Cricetulus griseus: one gene and its partners. The protein of the gene in region 3 interacts with the protein of the main gene of each other region in a pairwise test. Links are inferred from orthologs where the notes say so. Each region holds a gene or a part of one and is shown on either strand. Other genes may lie near its edges.

The links. The genes of interacting proteins can lie anywhere in the genome.
Region 1: the proteins of Spa17 (region 3) and Myl6b interact in binary tests that used the Homo sapiens proteins (3 or more experiments, as listed by UniProt). The two-hybrid records come from large-scale screens. The link is inferred for Cricetulus griseus from reciprocal best matches to the Homo sapiens genes SPA17 and MYL6B.
Region 2: the proteins of Spa17 (region 3) and Akap7 interact in a two-hybrid assay, tested with the Homo sapiens proteins (3 studies listed by BioGRID and IntAct). The two-hybrid records come from large-scale screens. The link is inferred for Cricetulus griseus from reciprocal best matches to the Homo sapiens genes SPA17 and AKAP7.

The regions. Positions count from the first base shown.
Region 1 is NW_023276806.1:129,396,284-129,402,435, reverse strand, and holds the start of Myl6b (myosin light chain 6B), read right to left. Parts: upstream 4,128-6,152; 5' UTR 3,991-4,127; intron 2,736-3,990; 5' UTR 2,690-2,735; coding exon 2,519-2,689; intron 1,981-2,518; coding exon 1,953-1,980; intron 1,708-1,952; coding exon 1,564-1,707; intron 1,078-1,563; exon of another isoform or gene 978-1,077; intron 38-977; coding exon 1-37. UniProt on the Homo sapiens protein: Regulatory light chain of myosin. Does not bind calcium.
Region 2 is NC_048595.1:244,452,619-244,458,900, reverse strand, and holds the start of Akap7 (A-kinase anchoring protein 7), read left to right. Parts: upstream 1-2,155; 5' UTR 2,156-2,180; coding exon 2,181-2,307; intron 2,308-2,534; exon of another isoform or gene 2,535-2,553; intron 2,554-2,826; exon of another isoform or gene 2,827-2,846; intron 2,847-6,282. UniProt on the Homo sapiens protein: Probably targets cAMP-dependent protein kinase (PKA) to the cellular membrane or cytoskeletal structures.
Region 3 is NC_048597.1:149,543,856-149,548,523, reverse strand, and holds the end of Spa17 (sperm surface protein Sp17), read left to right. Parts: intron 1-2,584; coding exon 2,585-2,731; 3' UTR 2,732-2,899; downstream 2,900-4,668. UniProt on the Homo sapiens protein: Sperm surface zona pellucida binding protein. Helps to bind spermatozoa to the zona pellucida with high affinity. Might function in binding zona pellucida and carbohydrates.

The sequences.
Region 1 (6,152 bases), on a different chromosome or scaffold from region 3:
AGGAACGTCTCAAAGTCCACACGTCGGGACTTGAGCTCTGGAGATTAAAAAGAGGTGAGAGGCCAGGCAGTGGTGGCGCATGCCTTTAATCCCAGCACTCCGGAGGCAGAGGCAGGCGGATCCCTGTGAGTTCAAGGCCAGCCTGGTCTAAAGAGTTCCAGGAAAGACTCCATAACTACACAGAGAAACCCTGTCTCAAAAAAAAAAAAAAAAAAAAAAAAAAAAAAAGTGAGGTCATTGAGATGTAGGGTCCAGTTGCATCCATTCCTGCCATAGTGATTTTTTATCCCTTCAGCATTCAGGATGTTTTCCTGCCCTGTGTTCAACAGCTTTTGAAGTTCTGAGGTCCATCCCAGCATCCTTCATCACCTTACCAATATTCTGTCATGGAAAACTGATACTGCAGTGAGGCATAACAGCCAGGCAGATTTAAGGCCAGCCAGAACAATTTAGTAAGACTTCATCTCAACAGGAAAATAAAAAAGGAAGCGCTGGGGATGTAGTGAAGTGGTAATGACACATTCGAGACAGAGAAAACTGCTAAGCCATGAGTGGTGGCTCACATCTTCAGTCCCAGCAGTCAGAGGCAGAGGCCGGCAGATGTCTGTGAGTTTGAGGCCAGCCTGGTCTATGTATTGAGTCCCAGGACAGCCAACGTTGTTAGAGCTGCTAGGATAGAGCTGTAGGTTCAAGGGCAGCAGATGCCAGAGTGAAGTCAAGGCTGTCCCCCAAGAAACTTAGTGAGTGTCTCAGAGAGTAAAAGAGCAAGGCTCAGCAATAAAGGGCTTGCCCGTCTTCCACAGGCACCAGATTCCACTCCAGCACCACACAAACTGGAGTGATCCCAGCACTCTGTGGTAGGCAGAAGTAGTCAGGAGGTAGAGGATCGGAATTTAAGGTCATTCTTGGCTAGCATACTGAGACCCTTGTTGTGGGGAGGCGCGAAGAAAGTTACAGGCTGGAAATGGAGCTCAGTTGTGCTTCAGCAGCACATCTACTAAAATGGGAACAATGCCAAGATTAGCATGATCCCAGCACAAGGATGACACACGAATTTGTGAAGTGTTCCATATTAAAAAAAAAAAAAAAGGAAGAAAAGGCCAAGCGGAGCTGGGCGTTGGTGGCTCACACCTTTAATCCCAGCACTCAGGAGGCAGAGGCAGGCGGATCTCTCTGAGTTCGAGACCAGCCTGGTCTACAAGAGCTAGTTCCAGGACAGTCTCCAAAGCCACAGAGAAACCCTGTCTCGAAAAAACCAAAAAAAAAAAAAAAAAAAAAAAAAAAAAAGCCAGGCGGTGATAGTGCACGCCTTTAATCCCAGCGCTCAGGAGGCAGAGGCAGGAGAATCTCTGTGAGTTCGAGGCCAGCCTGGTCTACAGAATGAGTTCCAGGACAGCCAGGGCTACACAGAGAAACCCTGTCTAGAAAAAAAAAAAAAAAAAAAAAAACAAAAAAACAAAAAACGGGGGCGAGCTTAGCGTCCCAGGGCAGAGCCCTGTATTCAATCTCCAGCACCAAGAAAAAGAAGACTGAAAAGCCCACATATCCCAAGGTTCCTCTCACCATCACTCTTGGGGTTCCCCAGGACCTTCAGCACCTCGGCGTTGGTAGGGTTCTGGCCCAGGGCTCTCATCAAGTCCCCACACTGGCTGTACAGGATCTTGCCATCACCCACTCGGTCAAACAGCTCAAAGGCCTCTTTGAACTCTGAGATGCAAGCAGAAGGCAGTGTCGACCAGGGAATTCGCATCACCTCAGACATAAAGGAGGTTCAGTTGGGAAATGAGGTGCTAGAGCAGGGCAGAGCACTGTGTGCTGCAGCTGGACGAAGCAAGGGAGGTTAAGAGGACAAAAGTGTGGGAGGTTTCAAGGTCAGAACTGTAGTTGAGAGAACAGAGGATCTGACCAGTGGTTTGGGATTGGACAATGGGGTTTAGGAAAAGGCTTCTCACCCTCCAGCTGGTCCTTGTTAAACTCGATCTGTGAGGGGGGTACGGGGAGAGCAAGTAAGGAGAGATGACAGAGTCTTTTCAATCCCTCTCTAGCTCTCCCAACCTACTGGCAGCCACTTCTGGGGAGGGGCCCTGCCACTTCAGTCCCATTCCCAGCTCTGGGCCTTGGGAGAATCCCAAGAGGAATTATAGGGGGAGGGTTTCCTGGGAACAGGGTTAATCCCATGCCACCTGTTCCCCTCCCTCCACTGCCCTGAGCCCTGCATCCCTCACATAACTGGGGGCTGAACAAAGGCTAAATTTACCCCTGCCCCCAGCTGTGATTGTCTAACAAGCCTGTCCTCTTCAGTCCCCCCTCCTGAGGTTCAGAGATGTGGCCTTTTGAGTTAGCTAGCCAGGGGCAGACAGCAGCTCTCTCCCTTCACCTTGAAACTGGCCTGGCCTGGGAACCCCCAAACTCATAGTGTTCATTCATCCCCTACTTTTCCCAAACATTCCCTAATCCGCTAGGCTGTATCACATCCTTGAACCGCCCGCTTCCAAATTCGCACTTTGCTGGGACTTACCACCACTTTGGAGAGATCAACAGGGGGCTCCTGGGTTTTTGCAGGAGTCTGGGGGGCAGCTGACTCAGTCTTGGTCTTGGCTGGAGTGGTCCCTGCTGTAGACCTGGCAGCAGGCTTAGAGATGGAGGGTCCTGCTGGTTTCTTCACAGGAACATCCTTCTTGGGAGGCATGATGTCAGGTGGCCAAAGGACAGTGTGCCGGTGGGGGCACCCATCTCTGTTTAAATAGGCAGGGAGTCTGGGATGTCAAGGGGCGGGGGCAGGGGCAGGGAGCCAGTTGGCGGTGGCAAGGGTGAGGGACAGGAGAGTTATGTGAGTCTGCCTTCACTCCCCTGGCCTCCTGTAGCTCAGGACTCCTGCCCCAAAGTTTTCTTCCCTCTGCCACTCCTCCCCCAAAGCTGACAAGAATATTGTTTCCTTTAAGGGCAGGGGGAAGAAACAAGAGACTTCTCAGATTTAACCTCCAGGGTAAGACTAGGATGCTTGCCAGTGATACTGAGATAGATAGGAGTGAAGAGAAGAGGGGGGGAAAAAACCTCAACAAACAAAAAAACCCTGCATTAGCCCAAGCAATGGAAGGACTTGGGGATGGAGTGGGACCTGGCCAGCTTAGGAAGAGCCTATTGTGAAGTGGGAAAATCTTAACTAAGGTCTGGAAACAGTAAAAGGTGTGTTTGTGATGGGGGTGTCTTTCCACACCCTTTGCCCATACCCATAGTTTAATGAACATTAAAAGTGTAGTCCCTGGGCCCTCACCTGCCCCCAACCTGGAATATGCACAGGAACCGAACAGTGACTTTACCCACTGTCTTCTGCACCTAGTGCTGATTTATGGGTGCAGGTGTCGACAGGTTTGGGTTTAACATGTGCCACACACAATTCCAAAGAAAGAACGTTTTTCAACAAGGTACTGTTATCAAATCGGACAGAAGGTTAGGATGCCTAATGAGCTTGGAGGGAACGCGCGGGCGAACACACACACACACACACACACACACACACACACACACACACACACACGTGAAGGGAGGGTTCTGGGAAACAATGAGCCTAGATTCGCTAATCCAAAAGGTGACAGGGTCTCCTCTGGGTTTGGTGGGTATTCCCACACCCACACTGCAATCAGCCCCATGATAAAAACCTGAGCTCAGCTTTAAGTCACAAACCTTGCTGCCAGCGCTGGCAAAGGGAAGGGGTCGCGTTTGGGAGCTGGGAGGAGGTTCTGGCAACTCTATTCTTGGAGAAAGAAGATTTGGATAGCATTCTGAGAAACTGGTCATTCCACTTAGGCCCTGAGACTCGGGTAGAGATAGTGTGTCTCCTATTTGCAAAAGGGCGTCAGGTTCTTTTCACTGCAAATTGTCCCATTTTTTGGAAAATAAGAAATCCTTCTGCAGACAACACGCCTGTCTCTCTCATTCATACTCCTAAACCACAGAGGGAAAAGGCCCACCCAACCCTGCAAAACTCACCTTGCCGGGTGCGAAGAAGGGCCGGGGGGTAAGGGGGGCGGGGTGAGACTAAGGGCTGTTCCAGGCCGGGAGGGGTTAACTGGGGCGACCGCGGAGCATGCCGGGAGTTGTAGTCCGTGCGCGCTCACCGGAAACCTCTCTCCTTCGGTGAGAAGTGGCGATGACTTCCGGCCCGCGGTGGCAGTTGGTGACTCAGACTCGGCAGTGTTCGCGGGTTCCGGAACGGAAAGGGCTTGCTCTTCTCCACCCATGACCCCACGGCTGCGGACCAGGGACGCCCGCAGGGCTCGGGGCGTGGCTGCAGCTGCGATCCGATCGCTTTCGCTTCCTGCAGCAAGCAGTTAGCTGCGGAGAAGCAAGCCCGCGGGATCGTGTGGCCTGGAGCAGTAACTTGCAAAGTTTTGAATCTTTTTTTCTTCTGTCATTTTTACATTTGATCTTAGGAAGCTGGTTCCCGAAGTAGATGTTAAGATTTGCACTTAAGCCTGGTCCCCTGTCCCAGACAATTTGAGCCATGCGTGGGTTTGCCCTGCGGTGCCCCCCGGGGTTCAGAGATGCCCTGAAATGCAGCGCAGGGCTGCACAGCCCTTCCCTTCTCAGACACCACTGCCCAGCCGGGACGTTCGCCCTCTCTCCCTGGCGTTTACCAAAGGCCTGAGTGCCGAGAGGGAACAGGACCACCGTCCCGAGCCAGCCGAGTAAATGCTCTCTGGCGGGGTGCCTCAAGCTTGTGAAAGCAAGCGGACCAGAAATAGCCCAGCGTAGAGAACTCCCGGTGGTACCGTAGGAACAATGAGGCACGAGCCAACTTTGTGGCCAGAAACGCACTCTTCCTGGCTGGAGAAAGCTCCCGAAGAGTAAAAAGGTCTGTACCGGTGCTGGGGTGTAGCTCACTTGGTATAGTGTTTGCTCACCAAGCACAAAGCTCTGGGGTCCCGGCACTCAGGAGGTGCAGGCAGGAAGAATCAGATGTCATTGGCCATAGGAAGTTGAAGCCAGCCTGTGCTACAGGAGATCCAGTCCCACAAAACAGAAAGGAAAGAAATAACATGATATAGGAAACAATATTCCTGGAGGCTCTCTCTCCTCCTGAGACTGGGGACTGATAAAGGGAGTGTGACTTCTCTGGGGTCACTTTCTGTGGAGGTGATAAAGAATATGGGCTCAGACAAGCATTTTCTCTCACTCGGCCCTCCTGTAAAATAACTCATAATTAGGCATGTTAAAGTTTTTAAGGTTTATGGATTTATTTGTTTCTTATTTATTGAGACAGGGTCACTACATAGCCCTGACTGTCCTGGAACTCACTGTTTAGACCAGGCCGGCCTAGAACTCACACCACAGAGATCCACCTGTCTCCCTCCCAGTTATGATAAAGCACCAGGGGGACCTGAGTGGATTCCATGGCAGTCGAGGGTGACCAAGGCAGAGGGACAAACATGTCGGGGCGGACAGAGCTTAGTTTTGTTAGAAAGGGAAGGGGGTGGGAGAAGGAAAGAGAAAAGAGGCAAAGAGACACAGAAACAGAGGACAGAAGAGAAGAGGAAGACAGGAAAAGTTCTATCTGCCCCAGGGGAACCACAGGAAAGAGAGAGGGAAAAAGAAAGGAAATGCCTGATTCCTTTCATTCCCAAGAAATGGGATTGAAGGCATGTGCCACCATGTACCCAAGGTTATATTTTTATGAGTGAATGTTTTGCCTGCATGTAAGTGTGTACCATGTGTATGCCCAATGCCTTAGGAGGTCACAGACCTCATTGGATCCCTTGGAACTGTAGTTTCAGAAAGTTGCACACTGCTGTGTGGGTGGGTATTGGGAACCGAACGGAACCGGAACCCTGATCCAGTGCTCTTAACCATGGAGCCATTTCTCCTGCCATATAGTTAGACATGTTAACTGTTTTGTTTTGTTTTGTTTTTGTTTTTTTTGAGACAGGGTTTCTCTGTGGCTTTGGTGACTGTCCTGGAACTAGCTCTTGTAGACCAGGCTGGTCTCTAACTAACAGAGATCTACCAGCCTCTGTCTCCCGAGTGCTGGGATTAAAGGCGTGCGCCACCACCGCCCGGCAACATGTTAACATTTATGAGACAGAATGGAATATAAGTGCTACAAACATGTCAAGAATGGGGCTGGAGAGATGGCTCAGAGGATAAGAGCACCG
Region 2 (6,282 bases), on a different chromosome or scaffold from region 3:
GGCTACTCCCACGAATCTTGTGCCTCAATTGACCCAGCACATCTTGCGGGCAGGATAGATTACAGTCTACAGGTTGAAGGTTTTACAGCTGGGTTGGTGTCCCAATCCTATCACTGGAAGTTTTGTCACAAGACTAAGGATTGCACCACAGATACAGGGTTAGAAATAGAAGCACTGTGCCTTGTTTTTGGTTTTTTAAAGGACATGCAGGACCTGCTTTTCCCAGGTATGTATAGTATTATTTCTTTGGATTATGCTGTTGTTACACAAAGCCTGGGGGGGGGGGGTCCAGACTTTGCAAATTGGCTTCTGGCTTCCTACCCATGTTAATCTTGCTGTTTCAGTCTGCTGTCCTGGCTCTCCAGTCACATTAAAAAAAAAAAAAAAAAAAAAAAAAAAAGTCCTTACTAAGAGAAATGCATCTTCTACTTCCAGACAGAAAAGGGAAGGGCAAAGAATTGTTTCTCTGTCTGTGGCTTCTAAGTTGCTTTTAGCTCCAACTAATCCTTATGCCAAAGTGGCATATTCCCTACCCTGTCCAGCTTAGCTGGTCTTGAACTCCCCATGTAGCCTAGGCTGGCCTTTGAATTCAAGATCCTCCTGCCTCCCTTACTTATTTTTTTTTCTCTGTAATTAGATAATCTGCTCCTATAAAAACACTGTCTTACCCGCACAAAAAGGGCTGGAACCTTAAACATTAAGTAAGGTTGTATCTTTGTATCTCTTTACCAGCTTCTTGGTGCTATGGGTAGAGCAAACAGACAGCTAGAGGTCACAGTAGCCCCCTTTGAGGTTTTCAAGTGTATGGTCTTCATGTCAATTTCTAACTATTGTTTTTTTTTAAGATCGGGTCTCACTATGTAGGTCAAGCTGTTCTGGAACTTGCTATGCAACCCCAAGGTGGCCCCGATCTCCAGCTACACAGTTCTGGAGTGTGGTGACAAAGGCTGTCCCACTAAGACAACTTGTGTCAATTACTGTAGTTATATGGGGGTCTTCTTTGTTTTCCTGCCCATTCTGGGATATATTCATGATAAGTGAAGTGTTCTCAAAGTGGGCTGGATCAGTTTGTTGTTCTTGGTCCAGCACCCTGTTTTCTTGAATTAAAACATGCAACATTTTTAACAAGCATAGTAAAACATACCCTTTAGATACGTAAAAATTGCTTAGTCAGAAAACTCATCTGATAATCAGAACCCACTGGCGTCATTCACTCAAGACAAACAGACGACTACAACACCACACCTCTCACTGGGCAGTATTTAAGCAGAGACCAAGAGCAATGCCCTGCTCTGGACATCTGGAGAGGCAGCACCTTGATCTGCCTTGCAGCTGGAGAGGCTAAGAGACTGGACCTGACCTTCAGCTAAGAGACGACCCACAGGTGAGCAGCCTTGGGGAGACAGGCTTAGGACCTTAGTTAGGAACTTAAAGACTGTGAACTGTGTGATGACCCTCAGCATAATAAAATATAACGTTTGCTATACCAACTATGCATAACTACCTGCTTGCCCCCCCCCATGCCCTCCCAAACAAACCACCAACAATAATACAAAAAACAAACTCAATAACGCCACCATTCGCCCCTAGCTGGGAAAAACTAATAATATTCTGTACCAAGGCAAAAAGTATTCATACCTTACTATTTTTTAAGTTAATTGCTTTCTCTTCTATTTTACTTAGATACTGAGGACCCTGTTCTGCAAAGCTCAGTAGATGATTTCCACTCATCTAGCTATTCCAACTTGTAGCTATTAAACTGCTGTTAAAAATTGCAGACTGCGTCCCAATTTGGCTTTTTTTTTTTTTTTTTTTTTTTTTTGGTAAAGCAGAGTAAATAAAGCATCTCATACCGATGTACAAGACCTTGCTCTTGTACATGTCGCTCTTCCCACATATTTTGCAATCAGAACTGTGTTTTCAAAGCTCCAGGCTAAACCAAACACCCGGATTCTCAAGAGACAGCAGGCCAAGGAATGCTTTCAGCCCGTCCCAATCTCGCCCCTCGAAGCGTGGGACGGGAAGGGCCGCGCCGCAGGAAACAACGGAGGGCGGCCAGAGGTCGGAGCCCAGCGCGGCCCCGGGGACGGCCCCGCCTCCCGAGTCCGGCCCCAATCCGGGTACCCGCGCCCAAGCGGCTCGGCCCCTTCCGGCTCCTCCCGAAGCGGCGAGTGCCGGGGATGCTGCGCCTTGCGGGGCTCCGCGCCTCCGCAGGCCTGGCCGCCGCGGCCAGCGCCCCCGCCACCCCGCGCCCCCCGGGCCTCCGCCTCCTCCTCCGCCCCGCGACCATGGAGCGCCCCGCCGCGGGTGAGAGCGAGCGCACCGCCCTGCGCGCCCAGAGCCGCCCCTGCCTTGGGGCGTGCTCGCCGCCCTGCTCCGCCTCCCAGGCCTCCCGCAGCCCCACGCCCCTCGCGTTCCTTCCCTCCTGCACCCAGACACTGGGCTGTGCCTGCAGTCCGGTGCACCCCCGTGCTCAGGGCACCGTGCTTGCACCCCCGTGCTCGGCACCGTGCTTGCAGCGATGCGTCACGGGTGCACTACTCCACACCGCGGGTGACGACTTGTTTTTTTTACCTCTTCGGATCTCGTGACACATGGCCCAAAGTTTTTGCAACATCCCTCCCTACTGTGTTGGGGCCGTAAAAGAAACCAAGGGGGGGGCAAAAAACCCTCCATTTTATTTTATTTATTTTTTCTAAATGCAAATTGAAACTTCTGAACGCCATTTTGTATCATTTAGGGTTTTATTTGAGGTTTGGAAATGAGCACTTTAAAAGTGGCGCCAATTTGCTGGCGCCCAGAATGAACTTGAGCTTGGGTCGTCTTCTGCTATGTGCTGAACTTGGGTAGGATAATTAGGGGCTGGACTTTGAGGGAAAGGAACTAAAAAGTAATTAGGGGAAAAACAAGTGTTCATTAAGATCGCTATATCCTAAACGTATACAAAGCATAAGAATATTAAAATATGTTGTACAAACATGCTAAGAATGTAAATACTTTATATATAAAGTATGTAAATAGTATAAATGTGTTTATGACTTTCATGTGAATGGAAAGATCCGTATCTTGTGGGGAGATGCCAAAGTGTTTCTGCTTGAGATGATTTTTTTTTTTTTCTTATGACATGCAAGGGTGTGGATAATAGAGCAGACATGGAAGGGGAGAGGACTCCTCCCACCCATTTACAGTGTGGCTTTGCAGTTTAGGATGCTGTTAGCTTATCTTACATGTTTCCCATATAGTAACAAAGCTTAAGGTACTTGTCGAAGTTACTGGGTCCTTACTTTATGTAGTGATCTGTCAATCTCTCCTTAATAATTTATATTGTTCCCTTTCCATGATGAGGAAGGGAAACATGAAGATTAAGTGGCTTGATTGCCTTGAAGTTTAAACATTTCTGGAGACCTGCTACTCTACTGTTTTTAACAGCTAATTGAAGTAGCTAGACCACAATGAACGACAGGCCCTTTTATAGCTGTTTAGCTCAGGGATCAGAAGAGAGCCTTGCTTATACTGGGACTGTATATCACTGTTCAAATATGAAGCCTGTTTTGTATGTCTTAGGCAGTCTGTCTTTATGTTTTCTGTTTGCTTGACTTTGATGATATTATTGGCTGAAGTGGAGCTATGATTTGAATATTTGATTGTAGTTAGATGATATTTTAGAAGGCACTTTAAATATATACATTGACAGTTTTTCTAAAAGTAACATTCAGTTTAAAAACAATTTAGTACAGCAGTTGGAAAGTGTTTAGCATTCAGAAATACATTTTAGCCTTTATTCTTCCTCTTTCTAACTGTAAATCTTGAGAGCATACAGTTTTCCCTCTGCTTTTTAATTAATCTTACGTTTGTCTGTTTTTGTAATGCTGGAGACCAAACCTAGGGATTTGTGCACACTAAGTCTACCAGAGCTACACCCTTGACCATGAATCTTTTTTTTGTTTTTTTATGATTTATTTATTATGTATACAGTGTTATGCTTGCATGTATGCCTGCAAGACAGAAGGAGGGCACCAGATCTCCTTACAGATGGTTGTGAGCCACCATGTGGTTGCTGGGAATTGAACTCAGAACCTCTGGAAGAGCAGCCAGTGCTCTTAACCTCTGAGCCATCTCCCCAGCTCCCATATGTCTATTTGTCTGAGAGTCACCTTTCCCCTGTTGTTACACTCTGTCATATCTGTTGTTGTCAGTCACCAGAGTGAGCATGCAGTGTTTAAATGACCCTCTTTTCTTTTTCTTCCAAGCAAGGTTGTGAGGAGTTGTGTTAAGTGTATATGATAGAAACCCACATTTTTGAAAGAACCTTAGACCATCTTCTTGGTCATGATTTATTGGCACATTGCTTTCTGAAAGATCTGTCTCAGTTTACAGTGCTGCAGTCAATACATTGTAAGGTTTATGGTACAGGGCATACATAGTTGATTCTGAAAATTGTGGGTCATGTACCAGAGTCACTTGATACAGATGGCAGCTCTTGAATCTACTTTGCTCATGGACAAGTGACTAAATTGTCTAGTTGGCGTAATGATAGTCTTCACTGATAACATAGTTGTATGGATTAAGTGATTATTTCCCAGAGTGCTCCTAGTTGAGTGTGCCCAGCATAAAGTACCTACGTGTTGGTTAGTGTTAGTAATGCTAATTTCCAGTTTCAATTCATTTTTGTTATTAGTGTAACATTTACCCCTGTGGTTGTTTGAATTTGTGCAAAAGATAAATTTTGTTTTAATTAACGACAGAACAAATTTTTGGGTGACTAAAATTTTTTGTGCCATGTAGCTCACATGTGCTGGAATTGCAGGTGTGACTCAACATGCATGGCCTAGGTGACTTTAATTTATTTATTTACTTTGTAGAGTTGAATCTCAGCCTGGTACCTGGCAAACAAAGGCTCTTATGGTGGTCTATCCCAAACTTTATTAACTTTTAATTTGAGACAAAAATCTCACTAAGTTACTTATATAGGGTGATTTTGAATGTACAGTCTGGTCTCAGCTCCCCAAATACCTGGGGTTACAGACCCATGTTACCAGGCCCAGCATATCGAAGCATCATAGCAGTCACAACAATGAATTTATGGTTTACATGCTTAAGGATCAACTGGTTGAAAGCAGTTTTTCTGAAGTGAAGTCTTTACACCTTGTGTAAGAGGAAGCATTGTTGTGGTGGATGTATTTAGTTATATCCCTCAGCCTTTGCCCAAATCCTAGCACTTACAACCTAGTTCAAGGCTTCCTGTAAGGGGAAAATAGGCCTTAAAATATACCTAGCCTGCTGAACATCATTGCTTAGCAACACAGTCCACTCTAAGAGTATTGATTCTTTCATGTCAAGATCCTGGGGCCACCTGGAAGCTGGGGCTTACTCCGCATTACGTGGGGGGGGGGGTGATCTCATTTTCCCAGTCTGGGAAGAGAACAACCCCCAAATTTGAATATTTCTATTTAATGTTCACTGCTTTCCTGAATAGCTGTCAGGAAGGAAAGTTGAACAGGTATCAAGATTCTGACCGTATTTCTCAGACTCAAGAGACTCTGTCCATCCCATGCCCTGCCTCCTTGGCTCTGAGATCTTGAACCCACCTCTTGCCCTGCCTCCTTGGCTCTGAGAGGTTTCCTCCAGTCACAGTAGTAGGAATAATAGCCAGCTTTTGCACCATCGAGAGGTTGAAAAGTTGTACTTGAAGCCATTGTGAGTCAGGAACTTTCCACATGGCACATAGACTCAGGAAATAGTATTGACATGCTAGTATCATACTGGAATATCTATCATTAAATGATCAGATTGAGAAAAAATTAGGAGAATCATAGTTGGGTTTACTTCTTTCATTCTGATTTCTATGAATTCTTCATGTTTGTTGTGGGTAGTATATCGATAATATGTTTAATTGTATAAGTACTTTAAAGATTTCTTTATTGTTGATATTGTTATTTTGAGTTACAGTCTTAGTCTGTAGCCCAGGCTGACTTTGAACTCAGTATTCTTTTGTGTGCTAGGATTAGAGGCATGTATGTGCTCCCATCCCTGGCTTACAAGTGCTCTTTTGTTAGAAGCTTTTTGTGTATAAGTTGCCTTTTGGGTGATGCTCCTCTACATGGAGCTGCCTGTCAAGATTCAACATGCATATTGATCTCTTTAAACTTTTAAACTGCGCTTGGGTTTCAGAATGCTAGTATAGACACAGAAAGCTAACATTTGACTTATTCTCATGATTTTCAAGTGTTCTGAGCTGGTGAGTAGACCTATAGTCATCTAAAATTTGTTGAATATATATGT
Region 3 (4,668 bases):
TGAGACTAAGGTAAACACTACAAACCAGAGCTTTGGTGGTATTTAGGAGGGAAATATTGTGTGGTTCTATTATTTCTCTGTAGAGCCAGTTAAACATTTACCACAACATCACTGCCTGTATTCTTCATAGTCCAAACTAAGAAAAACCAGGCTTTCCCTAGTGGTGGTGGCAGCAGCACATGCCTTTAATCCCAGCATTTGGGAGGCAGATTCCTGTGAGTTTAAGGCCAGCCTGCTCTACAGAGCTAGTTCTAGGACAGCCAAGGCTACACAAAGTAACCCTGTCTCAAAAAAAAGAAGGAAAGAGAGAGAGAGAGAGAGAGAGAGAGAGAGAGAGAGAGGGAGGGATGAAGGAAGGAAGGAAGGAAGGAAGGAAGGAAGGAAGGAAGGAAGGAAGGAAGGAAGGAAGGCAAACCTGGTTTTGTGTAAAAGAATTCATTCTGTACAATGTCAGAGTTCAAACCTTTGAGTTCCTTTTCATGTCCTAGTATCTCAGCAATATTGATGCCTAAAATGAACATACCCTACTGAGATACATTCTTTCCTTACATTATTCAATTATTCTAGAATAATACTGATACAGCCCAATTAGTCTAACAATGGCATCAGATGTAATAGGAATTCAGAGATATAGAAAAATGGAAACATTTCCTCATTTCTCTTATAGATGCTCTTTTATAAGCTGTTACAAGTTTGTGTTACAGTTCCATTGATTTTTAACTTAAGAGTAATTCACTTGCCCATATTAGAGAATCATCTCACAGAATTTTATGCCAGTCTATTTGCATTTAAAGTTTAAGAGCTAAACTTAACTCGCTGTAATGGAGGGGATTGAACATCTCAAAGGTCAGTCAATTGTTGACTGAATGACTAAATCTCTGGTGAGTGATATCAGTACAATGGAACATAGTGGCCATGTCCCTCCCATTAAAACTGAGCAAAATTACATACGAAATAATAGCAAAGAAGAGAACCCAGATGTGTTGGTTCCATGGGGAAAGTAGCTGTAGAGCACTCCAATTAGTATGGTCTTGTTTAAAAATGAAAAACAAATGTGTCTCATGTAAATGGACTCATACATAGAGAAATTTTGGAAGAATGTATAAATATACACAAATACACATAGAGACACACAACCTACAAAAATGGTTACTTTTTTAAAATCATTTTTTATTTGAATTAGAAACAAGATTGTTTTACATGACAATCCCAGTTCCCTTCTCCCTCCCGTCCTCCCCTAACACCCCCCAACTAAAACCCTACTTATCACATACCCTTTCTTCTATTCTTCCCTTGGCTCAACCTTTCTGCTCCCTCATGACCTCTTCATCCTTCCTCTTCTCCCCTTCTCATTCTCGTAGCTCCCTCCCCCCTCTTCCTGTGCTCTCAATTTGCTCAGGGGATCTTGATCCTTTCCCCTTCTCCAGGGGACCATGTATGTCTCTCTTAGGGTCCTCCTTGTTTACTAGCATCTCTGGCAGTGTGGATTGTAGGCTGGTAATCCTTTACTCTATGTCTAAAATCCACATATGAGTGAGTAGATATCATGTTTGTCTTTTTGTGATTGGGTTACCTTGCTCAGAATGGTTTCTTCTAGTTCCATCCATTTTCCTGCAAATTTCAAGATTCCATTGTTTTTTTTTTTTTTTTTTCTGCTGAGTAGTACTCCATTGTGTAAATGTACCACATTTTCTCTATCCATTCTTCAGTTGAGGGGCATCTAGGCTGCTTCCAGTTTCTGGCTATTACAATAGTGCTGCTATGAACATCATTGAACAGATGTCCTTGTATGAATGTGCTTCTTTTGGGTATATGCCTAAGAGTGGAATTGCTGGATCTTGTGGTAGACTCATTCCAATAATGGTTACTTTTTAAGAACAAGAGCTGGGGAAGTGAAAATGTTTCAACAAGTGATAGATTGAGGAGATTTTAATATGTACTTATCATGTTTGTAACTTTAAAAAGGTACATTAAGGGCCATATATTTTTTCAGTTCTACATTTAGGATCCATGAATTTTGCCATCTGTAAATTATACCTGTTTAAAAAAAGAAGAAACTGTATGTCCCTGTTTAGCCAACTGATAAGCCCAATATTAATAAACTGACTTTCTCTTTGATGTTCCACCTCTTAATGTGTGGTTTTAATTGTCTAAACATTTAGAAATTAGAATTAACATTTTTATCCATCTTATAAAATCACAATTATTTCAAAACAGCACATGTACTGATGTTAACATAGACACAGTAGTACTTCAAGGATTCTTTCTTGCTTCCCCACCCTAAACACAATGCTATTTCTCAGGCAACTTTAAATGGGTGCTGTCTGGGAACAAGAGAAAAGAAGTTGGCAATGATCTTGTATTAAGACATATTAAAGAGTGGCAAGCTGAATGCCTGCTCTTTAGGCATTTGGCCTTTGGTACACACATACACACAATGTGATAATGTATAAAATCCCTCCAGGAAGGAACAGCCCTCAAAATGGTTGCATTTGTAAATCAGTTATATCTATACATTCATTTTTGAGGCATCAAAAAGGCAGCATTCTGGAAAAGTCTCTCACTTTGTCTCCTTTCGATGAAGGAGGAGTCTACTGAGGAAGAAAGGGAAAAGGAGGAGTACGCTGCTCTCAAAATCCAATCAGTCTTCCGGGGACATGTGGCCAGAGAAGAGGTAAAGAAAATGAGGTCAGATAAAAGTGCCCAAGCGAAAGGAGAGGAAGACCAGTGAGGACACTGGCTTTACCCCCCAGGAAACATGAAAAAGTAATCAAATCCATCTGTGTTGCGATTGTCATTTTTTTCTCAGTAAGGAGATATGATGTTGTGGAATAACATTTGTTGCTGTTGTGAAAATCTGTCATGAGCATTTGTTTAATAAACATGCCATTGAAACACACCCCTTGAATTTCCCTGGGAGCAGAGTTGTCACTTCTTGTCCCCAGCCTGTGTCTAAACACCTTAAATTCAGCATCTGAACAGTAGTACCTAGGGCTTCAGAGCTTGGGTTATGTGGTCTGATAGCTGGTGAGTAAAGCTGCTCTACCTGACCCCTGGAATCTAAGCTTCATGTTTCTCTTCTGCTGATAACCTCACCTCCTTTGAAGTATAGTCTGCTTTCTGTTTTTTTCTTAGTGATGGTGGTAGTGAACCCCAGGACCTTGACTGAGCTATATACTAAACCCTAATTTTTTTTAATAGTTTGGGTTGTTATAAAGATAAGTAACGACTAGGCCTTCCCCACTGATGTTCAGGTGTCATAATAAGCAATCGTTCCCTGAAAATGTATTGAACATCTTTCACGGGCTGGACTAGTGGTGACTATTTGGTGCATCAACCACACAGCTTATAGTTTTTGTTTTGCTTGGCTTTGTCTTCTTGAGACAGGGCTTGAGTCTGTAACCCTCCCTGAAAGTCTTTTGCTGATTACTATTTACTCCAACCACTAGACACTGATGGCCCTCTAAACCCAAACACAGGGCTCCTTTTTAATATTCACCTGTGCACGTCATCCAGTCACATGACTGCATGACTTCATAAACCTCTGCACATGATTGCCAGACCTTGCTTCCCTCCAGCTCCAACCTCTTATAGCCAACTGCCTACTTAGCATTCCTATTGGGACGTAAGGTTTCTCAAAACGAACTTGCCAAACAACTCCTGATATTGCCACCTCCAGGCTGTAGTTCTCTTGGTGTTTCCCACCTGAGAAAATAGTGACCTATGTAGTCTGGAGAATGATCCATGATAGCTATACTTTCAGTTTGAATAAGTGAGTTTATTAAGTATATAGTATGCCTAACATAAAAGTAAGTTGGGATGGATGATAGAGGATGGATGGGTAGATAGGCAGCCAGGCAGGCACACAGACAGACAGACAGACAGACAGACAGACAGACAGACAGACAGACAGACAGACCCTGAATGCTTAAAACACTTAGCAGAAATCAACTGGTAAAGCCCCATTGAGGCAGTGAGCTAGAGTTCCTGGTAGATAGAATCCTGGGCAAGAGCAGTGTCCCCTCTGGTGAGGCTTCTAAGTGAAATCACAGATAACAACAGATACAAATGACATTATCAAATTGGACATTCACTCTATCCAGCAGAAACCAACTAAAGAAATTGAGACTGTCAATTGGAGTTCCTACCTGGGCTTCCTGTCCATGGATGAGATTTCCCACAGCTGAACTTCTGGATTCTCCCTACATGGTGGGATAAACAGTAAAGAGTAATAATATCTGTTGGAAATACTTTGCCTTCTATCTAGCTGGTTTCAATGGAAAGTTTTTACTCTTGGGCTGTTTTGAGATTCTCTTCTCTCCCTGTCACATAGTTGTGGGGCAGTCCATCCTCAGACAAGTGGCCTAGGAGAGATACTTTTTCTGTCTTATGTTTTTTTTTTTTTTTTTTTGGAGACAGAGACTCACTATGTAGTTCTAGCTGTCCTGGAACTCACTATATAGACCTATATAGACCAGGCTGGCCTCAAACTCACATAGATCCACTTGCCACTGCCTTCAGAGTGCTGGGACTAAAGGCATGCACCACTACACTTCGTTTGAGACAGACATGTCTGAAAATGGAGGGTGAGGCAACCAGCTTCCAGTACCAGCTTCTCATTGAATTCAAACAACACATAACTTACTAATAGAATGTACATTGCAAATG